2 linked regions of the Lytechinus pictus genome follow. The protein of the gene in region 2 interacts with the protein of the main gene of each other region in a pairwise test. Links are inferred from orthologs where the notes say so. Each region holds a gene or a part of one and is shown on either strand. Other genes may lie near its edges.

What was found.
Region 1: the proteins of cysteine protease ATG4B-like (region 2) and gamma-aminobutyric acid receptor-associated protein interact in binary tests that used the Caenorhabditis elegans proteins (3 or more experiments, as listed by UniProt). The link is inferred for Lytechinus pictus from reciprocal best matches to the Caenorhabditis elegans genes atg-4.1 and lgg-1.

Annotation. Positions count from the first base shown.
Region 1 is NC_087258.1:11,680,514-11,691,690, forward strand, and holds the start of gamma-aminobutyric acid receptor-associated protein, read right to left. Parts: upstream 4,407-11,177; 5' UTR 4,101-4,406; coding exon 4,011-4,100; intron 1-4,010. UniProt on the Caenorhabditis elegans protein: Ubiquitin-like modifier involved in the formation of autophagosomal vacuoles (autophagosomes). When lipidated mediates tethering between adjacent membranes and stimulates membrane fusion during autophagy. Recruits lipidated-lgg-2 to maturing autophagosomes.
Region 2 is NC_087260.1:27,170,770-27,182,123, reverse strand, and holds the start of cysteine protease ATG4B-like, read right to left. Parts: upstream 4,850-11,354; 5' UTR 4,835-4,849; coding exon 4,708-4,834; intron 3,296-4,707; exon of another isoform or gene 2,448-3,295; coding exon of another isoform or gene 2,405-2,447; intron 869-2,404; coding exon 698-868; intron 1-697. UniProt on the Caenorhabditis elegans protein: Cysteine protease required for autophagy. Cleaves the C-terminal amino acid of ATG8 family proteins lgg-1, to reveal a C-terminal glycine.

The DNA of each region.
Region 1 (11,177 bases), on a different chromosome or scaffold from region 2:
TGGCGCTAGATAGTTGTCAATACTATATAAGGCAAAGTTTTGGTGAAGGCAAAATGTTTTTCGTTGAAAAAACACATTAAGGTAATAGAATGTAGTTGCAGCAAACAGATATTTCATGAGAAAGTCTTTGAAATCATGTTAATTGTCACCCCATTATCATAGATTAAGAGCTGGTATGTTCTTATCTTTGTGAAATCGTGAAATCTTAGATGAAAACTGACAACACTTTTGACCACTACATGTATATTGCTTGGAAAAATACCTGACATTTGATGGAATTCCTTGTTTATTTTCTAATTTCTAAGCAATTTCTTCAAGAGCCAATCAGCTAGTAATCAGCCCATATACATACCAACACTTGGGTAGTAAATTTATTGGATTCTGTTCGAACTCATTTCGAGACTGGCATTTCTCTTTAAATGTCAAATCCACCCAACAAAAGTGTTGATTTGAATCAATAGAGAAAATCAAACAAGCCTAACACTGAACCTTGAAGTAATAATCCCTTTTGCATCTCATACTGGAAGCTAAACTGGGATGGGTGCATGTGCAGTCAATGGCCGACAGTGACGTTGGAGGTTATTTACAATAAAAAGTGGAGGGTGCAAGTAAAAACATGGCCATTCAGTTTACAATATAAACCAAAGTCCAGCAGGTGGCTGCAAACTTCTGATAACTGGGAAGGCAGCCGCCTGGAAGGTAGTGAGGGAAGGTGTGTTGATAGCTGAAAAGGGAAGACTGTTCCAGATTCTCACAGTACGAGGATATTTGAAAGCGTCTACGGAAGCATCAGGTATGGTGAGCTTGAGAGGAAGATCTTGTCTGCTTATGAAGAGAGCTGCTTTAATGTTGATAGGGAGTGGAATATCCACAATTTTATGATAGATTTTGAAGAACATAAATTTCATCGTGATCAGATGTAAAATAAGAAATTTATGACAATTTAAAGTTTTGCTCATCTTTTCAAAACATGAATGCCCAACTCAGAAATGAGAGAGCTGATTATGTCACTCATTCATAATTTTTTTTCTATTGTTTTAATGAATACAATAGACCTAGCTCTATTTATTATTTTTTATTATAGATTCGACAATAAATTTAAGGACCCTCTTGACCGAACCACAAAATCTTAAAACAATGGATATGATCTTGTCCATGTACATGTAGATCTACACTGGATGAGTGGATATTCCAAAGTTCTGGGAGGAATAAAACTATGTTTCACATCAGGATAAAATTCAAATATTTCATACTCTCTCTCATCATACAACATGGGCATGATGCATGGATTTCATTTTTTTTCCTTTACCTTGATCTGTTGATTGCAGACATTTTGTAAGCCAAATCAAAAGGCCAACTGCTGTCCCAGCAAAACGACAAAAAGAAGCAACTCTCTGTGACGATTGGGAGGAACCCGAATTACTTTTCACAAACAGGAGGAAAAAGCCCCGGGGTAAAAACATACCTTAATTTCACGTAAACACGTTTGGCTAGTCTTAAAAAAAAAGCTTTTGGGGAAAAACACATATCCTAAATACGCTTCAACTCCGCAATTGACCATTGACCAGTCTTTCAAAATCACCTTTTTGTGTGGAAAATCTGTGTTTTTGATACCCTTAATGAGCGGGGTCTAAAAAACGAGTGCATGTGTGGTCCGCATCCAAAACTGAAAAAATACCCTTAAAGAACGTGTTTTTTGGCAACGTATGTGTACAGCAATATATTTGACTGCCCCCCCCCCCCCAGTGGAGGCGCACGACCAATATGGGAGACTGTCTCCCATGAGAGAGATTATCTCCAATATCTGAGACTTTTGTAAAGAATTTGGAATTCTTATTTCAGAGACAGTCTCCAGTTTGGGAGACCAATTTCCTTTGTTAACATTTGCTTCAAAAGGATTACCTTGCTCTTGGCGGCAAATAAAAGCAGAATCCTCATGAAAAATTACCCCTTTTCACCATAATCTACTTTTGTTTTAATATTACTAGGATTTTTGTTGTCATCCACACACACAACAAATGGGCTTCTGACTTCAGTGAGACAAAATTTTGGGTGGAAAAAATTACGCTTTTGACTTTTTTGTATAATTAATTATAAAAAAATGTTTCTTGGACTTGGCATGCATGCAGTTTCTTTTGTTCTTGTTTGCCTTTTGCAAAGCAAGTATGGGAGATTATCTCCCGTATTGGAGAGTCTCCGGCATTATCGTGAAATTGGGAACCAGTTCCTAATTTCCAAAGGACACTTTTTCACGACAAGACATGACCTACCTACCTTTTCGAGCTTGTTCACTGCTTCACCGCAGCTGGCGCGCTGATTCTAGATAAAGTAATCCTTCAAAGAGCTTAGATCAGAAAGATTGATTTCGTCGCCGTCTTTTCTCTACTCGCTAAAATGGGAACCAGCGCATACAACTCTATGGAAAATTCTCAATAGAGTTGTACACGCTGGTTCCCATTTCAGCGAGTAGATAAAGACAGATTACTAGTGATATTTATTTCGTTAGTGATGATTCTCTGACGAAATAAAGCTGATTAATAAACTGTCTTTATCTACTCGTGAAAATGGGAACCATTATAATTCAGGAGAATTTTCTTAGATGGTTCCCATTTTGAAGAGTAGATATAGAGAGAGAGAATGCCAATGAGATTTATTTGGTCAGTGATGATTCTGACGAAATAAATCTAACAAATTGTCTTTATCTACTCGTGAAAATGGGAACCAACATGTATAATTCATGATAATTTTCTTAGATGGTTCCCATTTTGGCGATTAGATTTAATAAACTACTTTACTCTACTCGCCAAAATGGGAACCAGTGCGTACAACTCTATGGAAAACTCCCCATAGAGTTGTACACACTGGTTCCCATTTTAGCGAGTAGAGTAAACTAGTTTACTCTACTCGCTGAAATGGGAACCAGCGCGTACAACTCTATGGAAAACTCCACATAGAGTTGTACACGCTGGTTCCCATTTCAGCGAGTAGAGTAAACTAGTTTAATCTACTCGCCAAAATGGGAACCAGCGTGGAAAATTCTCAATAGAGTTGTACACGCTGGTTCCCATTTCAGCGAGTAGATAAAGACAGATTACTAGTAATATTTATTTCGTTAGTGATGATTCTCTGACGAAATAAATCTGATTAATAAACTGTCTTTATCTACTCGTGAAAATGGGAACCAGCATTTATAATTCAGGAGAATTTTCTTAGATGGTTCCCATTTTGTAGAGTAGATATAGAGAGAGATTGCCAATGAGATTTATTTCGTCAGTGATGACTCTGACGAAATAAATTTCACTAGTAAATTGTCTTTATCTACTCGTGAAAATGGGAACCAGCTATGCTGGTTCCTATTTTCACGAGTAGATAATACAGTTTACTAAAGTGATTCATCCCCAGATATATCTTGTTTGTGATTTATTTAGTGAATCGATTTTGTAATATAAGTTTTTGTCAACATTGTGAAAGTGGCAGAGTGGTCTCGAAGAGCAGGAAAATGCGGGGTAGATGGATAATTACAAAAATTATAATTCCGCGGAATCGTCGATGTCATCTGAAAACTTGTCCACCCATGGCAAACTGAGCCCGTTAAACATCGCATGAGGAAAGAGGTAACCAGTTGTGTGAGGAGCTTCGCATCGTAAACAAAGTCTCTCGCATCAATTCTTTTCAAAATCGCCGAAGCGAAGATTCTTTACATATCGTGGTAAAAGGAGGTACAAGTTCAATTTGGCTACCAGTTCCCAAAAGCACGGAATGGCCGAGTCTCCCATTGGCCGTGCGCCTCTACTGCCCCGAGAGAATGATGTTAAGGTCCCTTCTCACTTTAAAATTCTGTTTCATTTGCATGCATTTCTATTGCACTCATTGCCATTGGCTTATAAGTTATGCCGCCCTAGTAATGCCATTGCTGCCAATGCACCCCCATTGCAATTGCGAAATCAACAACAAACCGAACGATTTGTCACTGCCTGACTGCACTGATGACTGGTCATTTCCTTACTTACCGGTACTCTATCGGGATATTTCTTCCTAATTTTTTCTCCTTCTTGTCTCCTCTTTTCGAAGGGGTGTTCTTCTTTATATAACCACTTCATTTCAATTCGTTAACCTACAAGTTGAGAAGAAAAAGATCTTTATACCAAAATACAATCGTCGTCTATCGTTTCACCATTTGCTTTTGTTGACAAAATGGCGAGCCGAAGGTCTCCCTCATCTCGAGAACCATGCAGGTAAAATATAGGTCTAAAATGTGATTTTCAGGAGATTGGAATGAATTTTTTTCATTACAAATACATGAAAATTTCGTTTTTATTATAAACCGTGAGTTATACAGCAAAAGAGGGCATTTTTCTTTTCATTTACCAATTAAATATGAACGCGGAAGGATATTATTTTGATCAACCTAGTGACGAAATTGCGTCACTTTGGGTATTCCCATCCCGTACATTATTGTACGCATCAGCTGGTGTACTGTTACTAAAAATAGCAAAGTCGTCATACGTTCGACACCCCTCCCCCGGCCCCAAAACATCGTAGTCATAAAGTTGGCAAAGCTCACCCCGGCCCGTAGCTCACATGCATTGCCAGAGCTAGACAGCTGGCAGCCGTCTGTTTCGAGGAGTTTTTGAACATTTTTAATTTTTGTTTAAATTTCTCCTCGTACACATTTTGGTGAGTGGAGCCAACGGAGTTCAGCGGAACAACCAACATATAGTCCGGGAGCAAAATCTCATAGGGGCCCTATTTCAAGGGATGGGCCGGGCTGAAAGTATTTATAGCTTAATAAATAGAGTAGAATTCACTGAGCAAAATGCCAAAAATTTCATCAAAATCGGATAAAAAATAACAAAGTTATTGAATTTTAAAGTTAAGCAATTTTTTTGCGTAAACAGTCGTCATGAGTATTCATTAGGTCTGATGATGTCACATCCCCACTTGTTTTTTTGTATTTTATTATATGAAATTAGGTTTATTCAAAATTGTTCCTCCAAGAACTAGAAAAATTGGATTGACAACTGATTTAGTGCATTAGATAATTATTGCTGCAACTTATTTCAATATAATTAAAGGGAGACATATATTCACACAAGTATGAAATAATGAAAAAATTATGATTTTATGTAATAACATAAGAAAACGGAAAGTGGAGATGTGACATCATCAGCCCACCTAATGAATATTAATGACGACTGTTTTCACAAAATATTGCTAAACTTTAAACTTCAATAACTTTATTATTTGTTATCCGAATTTGATGAAATTTTCGACATTTTGCTCAGTGAATTCTACTCTATGTATTAAGATATATATATTTTCAGCCCGGACCATCCCTTTAAGGAGTTCGTACAACCCACACCACAGAAAAGGTTTGACACCATAGGGGGGTAGTATGGACCCTCTAGCAAGCCTTGAAATAAGCAGCTGCAGACCAGGGGCAATTTTTCAAAAAAAATTGCCCCCGGCTCACGGGCTTTTTACAGGAACCGGGGGCAATTAAAAAAATATATATACAACGGTGAACCACACCGCAAATTTGTTTATAGTAAGCGCAGCTCCTGCAATTTTTTTAACATGAATAGCATGCTAAGTATTAGGCTTATTCAAACATTTAAGAAATCAGATTTAAACGTTTAAGTGTGTTTTGACACCCTCACTCCACATCCCCTTTACAACCACACACACATGGGCTTATTTATTTTTTCATCTTTAATGAACCATGAACCCCCCCCCAAAAAAAAAATCTAAATAAATGAATAACATAAAAATATTTAAAAAAAGAGAGAGAGATGGAGAAAGAGAGAATTCAGATCAAATGATAAATTTAGAAAAAAAAAATAATTTTTAAGGTTTTTTTTTCATGGTTAGAATCACGGGTGTGGGTGAGTGTTTGTATGTGATTGTGACTGAGGTGCATGTATTGCATATAAATTATGTTAAAGAAATGAAGAAATGAAATCAATATCTAACTCAGTCTAGTCAAATTCCAGCACATAGCCCCCGGGGGGGGCCACTTACATTGACGAGTGGATACCATGCGCGACCAAAAAAACACGTAAAAAGGATGTCTTTTTCACGATAGGGCACGTTACGTACGTAACGTGATAAGGGTGTCAAAAACACAAAAATAATGAAAAAAGGGTATCTATTTCGCTAGGCCCTTACGTGTTTAGGGTCGAATTTGCGGGGATGATAAATTAAAATTAAAATGTTTTATAAAGGATGTCCTTTTTGCCCCAACACTTCGTGTTTAGAGTCCAATTTGCGCGAGGTGTAGAAGATGGGGTCGTACTAAACCAAATTAGGTAAAGCCGACGACCGAAGGACCCGTAACAATAAAACATTCCTGTACTTGTTTAGGGGTTCATTTCAGGGAATATTTGCCAAGAGTATCGTTTTGTTTCCAATACTTGTTAAGGGTAGGGTTTCACACGCCAAAACTTGTTAAGGGGTGCATTTTCAGAATATGGAAATTACGTGTTTAGGGTGCTTTTCGAGACCCCATGGTCGCGCATGGTATCCACTCGTGAATGGAACTGGCCCCCCCGGGACATAGCCACACTAGGCTATGTACATGAATTGTAGGTTCATGTACCTTACGTTTTTCACAAGTTATTTGAAAACGCAGATCTCCACAGAAAATGCCCTTCATTCTGGGAGAGTCTAAATTCGGTGAAAATGTATTCATTAATAACTTAAATATTCATCACAATGAAGAAATCATAAAGTTTTTTGACAGTTTTCAAAAATTAACATGAAATCTAAACTCTATCTGAAACGGAAAATCACCATCACTTAGGCCATTACTGATAGAATTCTCACCCAGAGCTAGCTCTGGCAGAGAACATGAGCTCAAACTGGCTAGCTAACACCACACTCAAGTGCACGGCGTCCTCCTATTCTTTTTTTAGATGGAGCCTTGTTTGATGATTTATTGTCTGATATTTACCCCTCTCCAATAAAGAAATTAAAAAGCTATAATTCACAACTATAAGCTAAGTGATTTTGGATTATTAAGGCTCCGTTTTGACAAGCAAAGTCGGCGACTGTGAAGAAATAAGACTCGCACATCGTATGTGCTGTGAACAGGGATTTATCTCCTGTGCAATTCGAATTACTATATCACAGTATTGTGATATCCCAACTGGAAATGTATGCATTAGAAATTGCACATGGTGAAGTATAGAAAAACCGCTACCGGAAGCACGCGCGCACATGTATTACAGAAAAAAAACGGACGTAGCTCACTTTTTATGGTACAGAAAAAAAGACGCACTTGGCAATTTGAAACTGTGCTTATTGTAAATTGAAAGTTACTTGATTTTGGCTTTTCAGATATTTAAATTAAATGTATGATATGGCTTCACTGCTCACTCACGGCGGGCCGGCGCAATTACCTGGAAAATATTTGCGCCCGGTCGTCAAAATTTTGATGATTTGGGGGCTTTATGGGCGCAATTATTGATGGCTTTATGAGCGCGAATTTGCGCTCAGCGCCCGCTTATTTCTAGGCTTGCCCTCTAGATTACTGCTAGGTAGGTAATAGTCTCAAATTGTGGTATCACTTTTTTTCTACAGTCGAATTTAAAGAGCAATGTAAAATAGCAAAAAATTGAGAAAAAAAATCAATAACCTTTAAGGGTATAAGGTTAAATGTAAGTTGCCATAGGCCTATCTCCGCTTGTATATGCCATAAATACGTCATTTATGTATCAACATGTTGCTGGGTGACAGCTCTAACGTAACAGTAACATTTAAAAGTGAAATTGAGATATCAAACCTTCAAATTACGAATACATGCACTCATGGCCAATATCCACTTCCATCTCAAGTAGATATGAAAAAATTGATACGATAAAGTGATTTTGTGTTGTTAAACATGAGGCGCTCTATATAACTACAATGTGACTAAATATGCGTTATTCATAGCAAAATGAAGATTTTGGCAATATTTGTTAAACATTTCAGATATGTTTTAACTACCATATATGGGCTACTTTTCACAATCTTGTAGTGCCGTCAGTTTGAGATCCAACGCTGCATGAATCAATAATCATTTCTTGTTCACTGGGGATATAATCTGATCCCAACCATATTCCATTTTCTTTCTTCAAACTCAATTTATTTCTAATTTCTTTAAATTGTAAATTCTTTTGTAGGGTTTATTGGCAGAAATGCCTCCGGGGGGGGGGAATGGGGGGTGGCTGCCAAAGTCAACCCATCCTTTTTCCGAAGTTTTTATATTTCTTGGAAAATTTGCCAATTCGAAGTCCCTATTGAGGCAGATAGCATTTCTACTATGTAGTAAACCCTCTTTTATTCATTTGAAACCACTTTAAGACAAAGGAGTAACCCTTTATATATCTGTTTTAAATAAAGAGGTGCTGGCAACCTTCTCGCGCAGGGGGGCTGCCAAAGTCACCCAGCTAGTTTCAGTATTTTGTCTATTTATGTAAAAATCTGCCATTTTGAGGCCCCATTGAGGCAAATAGAACATTTCTGCTAAGTAGTAATGCCACTTTTATTGTCATGAAATCACTTGGGGACAAAATAGTAGGCTTTTCTCTAGCGGCTGCATATAAGGATGTGCTAGGGAATTTGAGCCTACCCCCTCAAGGGCCTGCCGAAGTTACCCACCCCTTTTCCGTATTTTGCCTATTTGTGGGAAAATCTGCCATTTTGGAGCCCCCATTGATTCAAAAAGCTATTCATGTTGTAAAACAAGCCACATAAATCCCCTTAATACTATAGGGAGGTGAAAGAGTAGTCATTCTTCTATCAGCTACATATAAGGAAGTGCGATAAGTCGAAGCCTATATGTCCCCTCACGGAAGTGCCTAAGTCACCCACCCCTTTTTCGAATGTTGCCTATTTATAGGGAAATCTGCTAATTTGGAGCCCCTAATGAGGCAAAAAGCTGTTTCCGCTGTAAAGCAAGTCACTTTATTTGTCTTATAACTACTTGGAGACAAAAACATACCTATTTCTCTATCAGCTGCATACAAAGAAGTGCTAGGAAATTGAAGCCTATCCCCTCAGGGGCCTGCCGAAGTCACCCACCCCTTTTTCGAATTTTGCCTATTTATAGGGAAATCTGCCAATTTGGAGCCCCTAATGAGACAAAAAGCTGTTTCCGCTGTAAAGCAAGCCACTTAATTCGTCTTATAACTATTTGGAGACAAACAATTATCTCTTTCTCTATTAGCTGCATACAAAGAAGTGCTATAGGAAATCGAAGCCTACCCCCTCAGGGGCCTGCCGAAGTTACCCACTCCTTTTTCGTATTTTGTTTTTTTTTGGAAAATCTGTCATTTTGGAGCCCCCATTGAGACAAAAAGCTGTTTCTGCTGTAAGGCAAGCCGCTTAATTCGTCTTACAACTATTTGGAGACAAACGAGTACTTTTTTCCCTATCAGCTGCATATAAAGAAATGCTAGGAAGTCGAAGCCTATCCCTTAGAGGCCTGCCAAAGTTACCCACCCCTTTTTCGTATTTTGCCTATTTATGGAAAATCTGCCATTTTGGAGCCCCCATTGAGGCAAAAAACTGCTTCCGCTGTTTACGATACAGCAAAAATGCCCTTTTGCTCCAATGGGGATGCCAAAAGACGATATTTCTAAATACATGTCAAGTTCGAAAAAGGGTGAGGTAACTTAATTTAACAGTTTCTTGTAAAAATAGGCTTTTAATATGCCAGGATAATATTTTGAGCAAATATCTCCTCAATGATATTTGCAGGAGATCAATAAAAAAAAAAGAGCTGCTTCACTAAAATATGCGTTAAATCTACTCCTAGGTCATTTCCATCATAAGTTCATGCCCTTTCTTATTCTACTTGCTTGCTCGCCTCTCTATATGCTCTTTTCTACTCCTCTCTTTTCTTCCTTTCCCTTCTCTTGCCCTTACTTTTTAATTGTTGTTTACTCATGGTTTTAAAGGTATCCCGATTTCCGACAAAGGCATCTGCTTTCTGGGTTTTTGTGCATTCTTCCATGTACAATTTATATAATAAATGTCAATTGGAATAAAATAGATGTTTAATTGAATTGAAATGAAGTTAAATAATACAACAAAACCTGCGACATTCCTTCAATTACTTTACTCATTTCAAATGAATGGGAATACTGAGTATATAGTAACATTCATCTGAGAATTAAACTTGATCATCAGAATTTGCAATGTAAACTTCTTTGAAAATTATCACGAAGTAGAGATTTTCACTTCGAAATGTTTGTCGTATCACTGGGCCTATCATCCATGTAGTATCATTTTAATACTTGTTCTTTAGGTGGCGGAGATCATCTTACTTATTGGGGGGGGGGGGGGGTTGATATAAAAAAGACTATGAGGGGGAAAACGACTTGGAAATATTTACATTTTATGATGTTCAGTAATGAATACTGTTGTAAAAATGGGGGCTCGTGGCCGTTGACCCCTAAACAAACTTCATGATAAAAAAAATAAGTTAGAAGAAAGAAAAGGAAAGGAAAAGGAGGAAATATAATATTTTCTGGATAATATGTCATAATCTGTCAAAAACCTAATCAATTAAAAACGTATTTTTTGGCTCAATCGCTTCGGTCGCGCACAGTTCCTTAGATATTTTCCCCATACTCCATGTCTGGCTCCATCATTTACATTTTTGAGGGCGGGGTCCTACGCCAGTGGTAATGAATTTGGTGTGGATTAGATTATATCGCCAGTAAAAAGTAACTCTAATCGATTTAAGCAGAGTTGGATCCCAAACAAACGGCACTTCAAGATTGTAAATAGTAGCCCGCAGGCTAGTGAGAACATATCTGAAAATGTTTAAAAATCTTCATTTTTTATGAATAACGCATATTTAATGCAAGTATAGTTTTATAGAGCGATACATAATTATTTAAACACAAAAATTAATTCATCGTGTCAATTTTTTCATATCTACTTGAGATAGAAATGGACACTGGTCATTAGTGTATTCCTAATTTGAAGGTTTGATATCTCAATTTCACTCTTTAAATGTTGCTGTAACGTAGCTGTCACCCAGCAGCATTTTGATACATGAATGACGTATTTATGACATAAAGCGGAGATATGGCAAGTTACATTTCACCTTCCCCTTAAAAGTTATTGATTTTTTTTCATTTTCGAATTTTACATTGCTCTTTAAATTCAACGGTAGTAAAAAAGTG
Region 2 (11,354 bases):
ATTCATAATTGTCTAGGAAGTATAAATAGATGATTGTCTTCACCATCAATGAATCAGGAAAGAGCTAAGTTAACATAAGAAACATACAACTCAATAAAAAATTTTGACACTTTTGGCTTCCCATAATTTTAGCACAGAGTTAGAACGTGGTCTAAGTTAAACCTGACTTCAGAATACGGGCCAAAGTCTTGAAAATGGATAAATGTCAGGTCTACCCCATCAAAAGGTAAACAAATAGGGAATTTAAAACAATCATAAAATAACACTGAATATTTCATTGAAATTGGATGTGAAATGAGGAAGATAAGTTTCACTTTATGCACAGCACAAGTGATGTGCAAATGAGATAGTCCATGGTATCATAAACTTCTGTATATTTTTTACAAGTATATGAAAAATTCTTTCAAATAATCTAATTAAAAGGGAGATATACTGTATAGAGGGCAGAGGTGGGGTATGGGCTCAGCAGCAACTGGTGAGGAAGGGCTACATGTATATCTGAAAGACCCTTTTACATATGACAATGACAGTCTTGAGAAAAATCCAAGTCTGGCTTCTAGTTGGTGGTGACTAAGGTCAAATTCTTCCAAGGAATTTCTTAGAGAAGTCTAAAGATTCATAGGGAACACTATTAAAGAAAAATAGGAATGGAGTTTGCGGATCAATCATCGATGAAGGAGGGGAATCGATCTCTTACCTATATTTGAGAACCCCTTGCGGTACGTGAACCACAACCTTGATAGGACATCCAGCCTGGCTTCTAGCTGGTGCTGCGTCAGGTCATATTGCTTCCCGAGGATCCAGATTGGTCCTAGGTCCGTGGGGAAGTCCTCAAAGGCCACCATACCACTCTCATAGGTTGCACATGCTGCATGGGGATAGAAGACCAAATGTGGCATGTTAGGTCCAGGTACTAATCTCTTTAGTCTAAACATGCAAGTCTACAATGCCTAGTATCACATTGTACCTATACAATCACTCATGCACTACAGGTATTATGCACAAGTATCATGTGCCTGTATTTCATGTTCAGTGCAATTGTGACAATGCACAAGTACCTGCAACTTTGATATTTACTTTTCAAATACTAAGTCAATTTTCAAGCAATGCAATCAATCAATGTTCTGTACATGCACATAATATACATACAGCACTATACTGTATAGATTCTTGGCACATATACAATTTGAGTCAAATCTATGACAATCAAAATCTGTTCAACTTTCTTTAAAGAGAGGTATTGAAATAATATGTTTTTGCATAATCTGGGGACCTGTTTCATAAAGAAATATAACTATTGAAACTTTGATTGTGATACAATACATACATGTACATGTACATGTATGTCAACCCAAGAAATAAACAATTATTCTATATGTACATGTACACTTCTAATTGTTACTATTATGAAAGCACCAAAACAGGCAATATACAACTTTAACAGCGAGTATTTCCTGTACAACTACATAAACAGTATACATGTGTTTCCTGTACAACTACATAGCGTACGCATATCAAGAAGTATGTATACATGTAGTTGCACAGAACTGTCTTCACCAGATACTGCTTACAAACACGTAGGCTGATAATTTGAACAAATTTGAATGAACAAAGGGATATAATAGAATCATTCAAAATGTAATAAAATACTATTAAAAAGAAAATTAAGTGACTATACAGGGTTCCCAGCTCTTCAAGAAAACAAAATTCCCTGATTTTTGGATCCCTGATGAAGTTTATAAATTTCCTGATTAATCATTTAAACCCAATTCCAGTTTCGCAAGTTGCTGCAGTGAATTACATATATTTTCAGTATAAAAACAATAATGTAAAAAATAATTAGTACCACCATAACCAGTCATTCAATGGATATTGTTTTGATATGCAACAAAATATAACAGAGTCTGACTGACTACCGTGCTTTCGACTTTTGGGCTGATCAAAATTCCCTAATTTTCCCTCATTTCAGTCACGCATCTTCCCCTGATTTGAGGTATTTTTAAAATCAAATTCCCTGATTTTTCCCTGACTGGAAAAAAGTAAAATAATTTTCCCTGATTTCCCTGATTGGCTGAGAAGTGGGAACCCTGCTATAACGTGTGAATCTTTATAGAAACTTAGTTTTTTTAATGTTTGCTTGATTTAATCATTTATTTTATTCCATTCAATGTTCTAATGATTCAAGAATTATTGTGCACAGGTCTGTATGTCATTGTTTTTTTTTTGTTCATACTGAAGTGTACAGTATATATAGAGTGGGACTTTGAACTGTACAGAGCAATATTTTGAAAAATATTGTCACTGTTTTTTCAGTTCAACAGACTACAAAAATAAATGAAAAAAACAACAACACAATTTATGCATCTGCTCCTACCCTCTACTCTACAAGGAACATCATACTTGCCTAAGTCTATACTTGAATAAATATTAACAGGATAGAAAGACATAGCTCTTGGCAGTGTAATAAAAAGTGTTCTGGTGCAAAAATCAATTCAGACACACAGTGCAAGGTGCACAGTACTATTAAAAACAAGTTTTCTCATACGTTGGATTAATAATATTCATGACGACGGATCAATCAATCCGGGTAGCAACAAAATTATCATTGTTAAAAGAAAACAAATATCCTGGGCTTTTCTGGTGCAAAAAATGTTCAGACACACATGCAAGGTGCTAACAAAACAAGTCCTCTGACTCCTCTCTATATTTGCAATGTTCATGAGTACTCAATCAATCCTGGAGCCGATCAGTATTAAAAAAACACACTAAATCCACATACTTTGTCATTGAAAACTATGTAAGCATTGAATGATGGAGTCAAACTGATTATGTTTTGGCATCAAAATGTAAAAATCTCTCACAGTAGCTACATGGATGGAACAAGTAAACTTATGCAAGTTCCCACAAATTATCCACATCACAGATGGGCATCATAAAGATTGTTCAAACTTCATTTGGTACACAACTGCAGTCTCCAAAATGTTCAATTATAAATCTTTCAATGTACAGTGCAATTGTATGTGTTCAACATCACAAATATCCGTGCAAGCAATAACAAATCCTGATTAAATCCTGTGTGGTATCCTTTTACATACAGTGTACATGTTCATTGTTACCCGATTGTTACTCAACAAAACTGTTTACTTTTACAATGAAATTAGCAGATTTGTCACTGTTTGCCTATGTGTCAAATACACATGAAATGGTGAGTAGGTGGCATCACGGTATTCTAATTTTAAGAACAGTCCCACAACACAAATGTCATCCTTGGCTTTACAATTCTCCAAAATGCACTGAAATATGTACATGTAGGAAAGAAGTGAGTCATGTATACCTGTACATGCATGTAATTAATAATAATAATGATATCAAGCAACACCTGGCCAAAGTTCATGATATTGATAAAGACCACGGAGAACTGGTGTCAACAGATAGATTTAAGATTAGATATGATTAAAGGACTAATTACATACAAAACACCAATAATGCTGGCATGTTGTATTGCAATGTATGTCAGAATGAATACCAGTCATTATCAAGTACTGGTACAAGTAGCTGGTATTTTGTGTAGAAAACAAAATTAAGCCATAACCCCCCCCCCAAAAAAAAAAAATAATAATAATAATAATAATAATTATTATTATTATTTGAAATTAAAATTTTTTAAAATCACAAGTTCCATTCATTCTTCATTCACTATAAAACAATAGTTCTAGTGGCTAAGATGATGTCCCTAACATACATGTATGATTTATTTTCCAATGCTTTTTTTCTAAGTTATCATTTCACCAAATGAATGTACCGATACTCAACACTTTAATATCACAGTGAAATATTCTTTCTCACTGCATGTATTTTCCTCGTCAGTAAACCTTGGTCCTTTGTAGGGCAAAGAGATATTTCCCTTCAAGCTTCCTGTAATAAGCAACCCATCGTTTTCATTAATAATAAACATGTGACTTGAACTCAATGTTTTGATCCATGTTCAATCTAATCTCCTCAAATAATACGAGTGCAAAGTCCAAATCACTATAAAGTCTAATATCAGTTTTCCCTTTATTTTTGTTTTCCTTATAAACTGCTCCCCCGTATTTTGATGTACACCTCAAAGTATCATATGTAAAGCAGGTCATGCTATTGAAGGCGGTCTACAGCAAAAGATTTATGTTGTAGGTAAACTTATGATTTGATATACATGTACATGTATTTGACTTCTGGATGAAGAAGTACATATACACTGTATGGATGTCATTTGTACATGTACACGTTTTAGCAGGGGAAAAGCTAAAAAAGAAAGATATAAATTCACAAAAATATCATTGGGAAGGAGTTCAAAATTTGATTTCAAGGCATTTCTGTAACATTTTGATTTAGTATTTTGTTCCTACCGGTATCTCTACACTATTTATGTATGCTACCGTATCAAGATGTTTTGCTACATGTACACCTCTTAATATCTCTAATTAGAAAATATTCTTTACGTTTTTTTAATTGAACTTCAATTTGAATATTCAATTTGAAATTTAGGTAAATAATTATGAACTTGGCCTCAAGTATACAACCCTCTAAAATGAAGTAATAAATTAATCTAATTTTCAAGAGAGAGAGATACATGTAAACATGTATATCATATCATCAAATTTGCATGAAATCTTTTCTTGCAACATCTTTACAAAGTCTTTTCCGAGAGGATTACAATGTACATACCCCTTTTGTAGTGTCTCTTCTTCATTTTATGAATCCATTCTAATATCATCAAGTGATCTGATCTACTATACGGAATAGAACCAATTAAGTCACAAACTCCAACAGGCTGAAGACAGAAATGCAACATCGGAGTATACGCAAACGTAGAACTGTCTTGCGCATGAAATCGTCGGCAAGTGTTGAAAATACAGTTTGTCTACGAGGAAATCGTGTTAAACTTTGTAATCGGAAATAGGCGTGGCACTTGCGGCGGGAGAGAATTTTCAGCAAACCATTAAGTCATGTGGACGCCGAGCACGAGCGAAACGAAATGACGTTGAACCCTAAAACTGTTTTGCAGAATAGAAGTAAAAGTCACTCAAGAATATTGCGCAACCCGGACAACCGTGATTCAATGTAAGTCAAGTCATGTTGACAATATTTCATAATGAGAATGGATTAAGGCCAGCAGTATAAAGTGGATTTAAGATGCTTTTGTAAAGATTCGCAGATTACCAGTACATGTCGCTCTACATGTACCTTTCAGACTGGTACTGGTAATCTTCCTCGAAAGCTTTACATGATCAATCATAAAATTTCTAATACTGACCTCGGAAACAACAATAAAATGTAAACTTGTTTTTTGTCTAGCTTAACCATTCAAAGACATTTAAGAGGGGTGAAACCTGGATATCGAATCAAAATCAGTATGGTTAAGAATATGAAACATACACAAAATAAAAGGCAACATATAAGAATTGCCAATACATAGACAACGCAACTTTTACTTCCCAGCGGTATTGCGCAATACACGGCTGACCAGTTTCAGTCTGCACGGCGGCCTGTCGCAATATGAAAATTCAAAACTGATTCCCAAAAAGCAATTAGACCCTTACCCATGAAGCGACCATGTTCACGCGATTCCAGTCGTTCAAAGTCATGACGACGATTTTCCATGACTTGGTATTGGCATGCATCGTCTTCCAAGAAATCAACAGAAAATCCCGTTATCATCATCCAAGTCAATGTTCAGTACAATGTCAATGCATGCAGTAAAATGCACTGCCACAGTCATATCCTGAACAATTACAGTACATGAAGTACATGTTATCTTTGTAAAGGATTCGAGTGGCATCATCATTCAATCATACCATACGATCTACACATTTCAAAACTAAATTACAAGACAATATTAACATATTTTAATCATTAACAAAAGATTGATTATGGCTTGCTTCCTCATCATTTTTTTTTCTTTCGAAGATGCACCGAAGCTTACAAGAGCAGCAGCCTTTGTTTCAGTTTCTATTACTCTTCATATAAAGTATCGCATAGCAAGGTACTTGAGACATAATCATTATTTTGATTAATTTCCACTTGTTTTCATCTGCAATGATTGTCGTCGATTACAAATGATGGCCTATTTAGCAATGATGTCATTATTCTTCAGAGCAGTATGAACTTCTCACAAAATGAACTGCAGATAAGTTAACTGTTGAAACATGTATCTCCTCAGAATCTTCAAGAAAAATTGAAAACTCTTTCATAATATACTGTACAGGGACTATTTTACCAAAAACCAAGTCCAATGTTCTCAATTATATATATCCAATTTATAATTTACTGGGTAGCTACAAAGGTTCTGTGATTTGAAAGGGCTATTCTTTAAATAAATCACTTTTGATATAAATATTATACATAAATATAAAAATATGATACAAATATTTTCCCCTTTTTAATAGGTATCGGTAGTCAATAGTCAGTTTGTAAAATGCAAATTCCAATATATACAAATTTCACCTATATTCTTCTAATTAAATAACAGAGAGTAACTTTATAAAGTATATTATGAATTATGATCATCATTTACATCCTCATGCATGCAACTTACACGGAACATGGACATGTATATCCCTCGACATACAGGAAAGCATATTCAGTCCTGATCGGTGTAGCTTCCTGGATGTTGCCATGGTAACCAATGATCCAATTCGCACAAAATGATACCAGTGTCCAAACTATCTCTTGACCACTATTGACTCATTCTTTAATCATATTTGTCAGAATTCATAACAATGTTAATACGGCAGGCTGTACAAGGCACAAATTTGGCTGTTTTGTTTTGTTAACAAAAACAGCAAAGAGTTGGAAATCGTAAAATCTGATGACGTAGAACTTTGCTACATGGCAGCAAGCACATCACAATTCCCGTGACTTCCTCTTCTTACATCCGTGCTGGCAGGAAAGGTTAAAGGTAAAGATGAGTTCATGTCAAGACTAGAAAAGCACAAAATTATATGCTCAAATAATATTCATTTTGAAATACCTGATTCTATAAAGTAGTGCGGACTTTCAGTAAACAGTAGGCCTACATGTACAGTGCAATAAACCTTAATTTGATGGTTGATTATTTTTAGATAAAAAGTGCAATCCAAATCAGAAGCAATAAATAATATTCCACACAATAATGGGTATATGTGGGGCTACACAAACCAATTTTGTCTAAACATGACGTAAGTAAGGTACACAAGTATTTCTTTCCCAGTCAGTAATCATACTGTATATCCAAAATTCTCCAGAACAAAACAACAGAACACGACACAATGCAAAAGTATATGCACCAAGCTCAAGTCTACATGAATCAGCTATTAAAGCCTCTATTGATCAAATCCTTCCAGGGCAAGGGTAGAAAGTCTTATTGGTTAATTATCTACAGCAGATTTCCAAGGATTCAATTACCAAAATCATCTAATTAACTTCAACGTCCTGTCTCTGTTACACTTATTTTGCAAAGATTAAGAACTTTGCAATGTCATGGGCAGAATTTAGGCAAGGCTTGTTTGTGGACCTATCCAACATATGAAAATAAAATCTGCATTAAAATTGGCATATTAGTTTCAACGATTCTCTCCAAATTCAAGCACTTCTGGGAACTTTAACACAAAAGCAGACAACATCTATTGTATTGAGTTGAGAGAATATGAGTTGGCTCTGAACTTCGACAATTTTTATTGAAGTAAAAAAAAATTGAGAAGGAACTATTTGCTCCAATTACAGGAAATATTGCAGAGATACATTAGAAAAGCTATGGCAAAAATTACATAACTGTACCAGGATATGCAAATTTCAAATAAGATATTATTGACAAAAAGATATTTACTTCGCTCAGGTTTTGCATTCATTTATTGCCTAATAAACAAAGTACAAACAGAATAGGGCTTTATTTTTAGAGTAAACAATTATATTGACAAGTCACAAGACAGTGAGATCCTGAATATTACACAATCTAGACTGTACTAGACATCACAAGTTTATTGCTAATCACCCTCTAATAGACTTCAATGTTCTAGATTACAGCATTTTAACTTAAATACATGATGTCATAATGTAAATCTTAAAGTTCACTTCTCTTGTCTGTGTGTAAGAGAGATTGTGACGTATCTGGATAAAATTCATATTCAAAGGAAATGACATTTACATACGTAGGCTTGTATTGAGCAGATCGCGCAACATACACAGACCTTGATCCCTACACATGTACCTGTTGTATGTAAGTGGAAAGTAAAATAATTTTGCTCAAAAATTAGAAAGTTAACAGTATTCACCAGATGGTTGTGCAGTAATTTTATCAAGAAAATTAGGAAAGGAAATGACTCATAATGGTTAAAAAAAAAACATACATGTATTCTTTGCTCCTAATTCACAAATTTTGAGGTTAGCAACTCAGCATTCGATGTCTGTATCAATCTTTTATTCAAAAGTTACAATTTTTTATATCAATACTTATTCTAAAAGCTCAATGTACAATGTAGGCCTATCTAGAAGTCACAGTTGACAAAAGTATGCATTTTTGCAAACAAAAAGGGTTGCCAAACAAAGCATCATGGCTATACATGTAAGGGGGTGGTGTTTCACAATTTAGAGTTAAGTGTAACTTAGAGTTGCACAATTAAATGGCCATTTGCGTGAGGTATATAGCGCATCATCGCACTGGTCAGATCATGAGCATTTGACCTGCACTTCCGAATATCAATCAATCAGATTATGCATTAAATAATGTGCGAGTTGGGGTTTAAGCATGACTCTATTAAAACAAAAAAGTCACATTTAACTCTTAACCACCCCCTGGAAAGATTTGAATGCTGTAATGTGCATTATGTTTCAGCTCAAAACTCATAAAACTCAACATTCATAAATAAAAAATGTACAACTTGAGAGTGCATGAATCAGCATTGCAACAAACGACAAAATTGACCCAAGACTGCAAGAAGATCTACATGTATGAGGTCCTTCCCTGTATAAAGCCTGTACATGTATACCAATTCACATGATTTATCAAGGGTACAATTCCTGCCCACATGATCACGCATTTCAATCTCCAATGACAATGCTAGGCTTTCGGAAACAATGGAATAATAGCTGATCTCAAGATATGTTTGACTTTCATATTCAAGATCTCTGTTCCATTAGACCTGGGTCCTGCCATACCAATGACCTTCACAAATATCGTGTACAAATCATTTGGTTGTAAACTTTGGTCGAAAACAAAACATCGCACAGAAATTCCTTCCAAATTTAATACCAGGTACATGTACTCAAAATACAATTGACACAACAATCACTTTTAATGCACACAGATGCATCACTAAAGACTCCATAATATCACGAGCCAATTACTGTTTCATAGGAATATAAAACAGTCTTGTAGGCTTTTCCTTTCAATTTTTTCAGGAGCAGTGCACAAGAAAAACTAAATTAACACAGCATGGGTACATACAGTCTTGTGACTCTTGTCAAATGTACAGATACTTCATGTAGCAATAGCAATAAGATTGTCTACAGTACATTCCAAGTATGTAAAGAAATGTTACATGTATGTACATGTAGACTGTGCATGAAGCATTGGACCAACATGTATAATATGAGTAACCCTTCCATGCCTCTGATGCAATCATATGCACAGAAAAGATATTGTCATTGATCACTGACTCATCAATTATCAGACAACACTTGTTGTGACAAATCAAGTCTTCATGTTTACGCAATGCCAATGACCTTGATGAGTCGCTCATATAAAGAGAGTAGGGTTGTAGTTCACAAGGAACTCAATACATTACCAAGTACAGTATGGGTTGGATTGAAAATGTTTTCTGGAAAAAAGAATACAGAAAGAAGGGCCATTTTCTCTGGGATTTATGTAAATTGTATTCCAGATACATACAGCTCTTATGACCATTTTTTTTTTAGCTTGCTACTGAAGCAAAACTCGAGATGTGCAAAATGCTATAAAATTCCATCTATTTTGTAAAGAGCTACGTTTTGTAGACTGTTTTGACCCCACCCCCTTCCAACACAAATCATACCCAAAGTCTCATTTAGACAAAGGCCATTAATAATACTTCCCCTTCTGCAGGAAAAGCAAGATAGTCTTCTTCCTTTCTCAAGGAAACTTTAGAAGTAGTACGGCAAATCAGTACTAAACTCATTGAATGAAAAATGTGTCTAGCACATCTTCATTCCACAACCATAGCAAAGTCTCATGGGTATTAGGCAAAAACTGAGATAGTAATTCACTTTGCAAGATACTGTATTTCTGATATATTGCTGTAATACATAGTATGCCATTACCATGGCAAAGCAGTGCCCGACACAACTGAGGATAAAGTTTAAACTGCCAGATTTGCAACCAACTGACTAAAAAACCTGACAATCCCCCCTCCCCCAACTCATACATTGATCACCGACACTAGATAGAGTTTTCATGTACCCCTTCAAAAGTTTAAAGTTTGCTTGATGGGGATAAACTTACAAAATAAAGATAATAATAATAACAATAATAGGTGAATAAAATAAATAAATAATTAGTTCAAAGATAAATTAATCATTACAAATAAATCAACTAATTAATTTCTAGTCAACAGATATTTTACTTGCCCCCCCCCCCGAAAAGAATATCAATAACCCTATTAAATAAAATACATAGAATATTTATGCACAAGTATGCTAAAGTTATTGATAGACAAAGTCACTCAATAACTTGGGAAGCTCAAAAGAGGGCGGCAACACAAATAAAATAAAATAACACATCTACAGATATAGAACTACACAGTGAGTAGAATGAGCATACAATGTACACATCAGGACAGAGCTTGTAAAAGTTTTTCTTCTTCCTCCTCCTGCTTCTCTCCCTCCTTACCCATCTCCCCCTCTTCCAGGGTCGGAATTACACAGGGGGGGAGGGGCGATTTTGCCCCCATGACAGCCCAAATCACCCCTAAAAATTCTCAAAACCCAATGCTTTGGGGCGACCATTTATTTCAGAATCGCCCCAATAAAATACCATCGACAATGTAAAAAATACTTCACATAATTACGTTCTCCGGCGGCGGAGCAAGCGCATCTTTTATATCGCCCTTGCCAGCTTTAAGTTGAACGGTCGATGCAATATCCGAACCTTCCGTAACACCGGATAAACGCGCAATGCAATATGGGATGCGGAGTACGCATAGTCTTTAGCACAGGGTTTTTAGAATTGTTGACGCACTTGCCGCATGGCTTATGTACATGTACGCGTGCACGATTAGACTGCACAGCTGGTAACGAGACCACGTGCATCGTACGGTATATTATGTAGGCATGCACAGAATTGTATGCGATCAGCTGGTGAT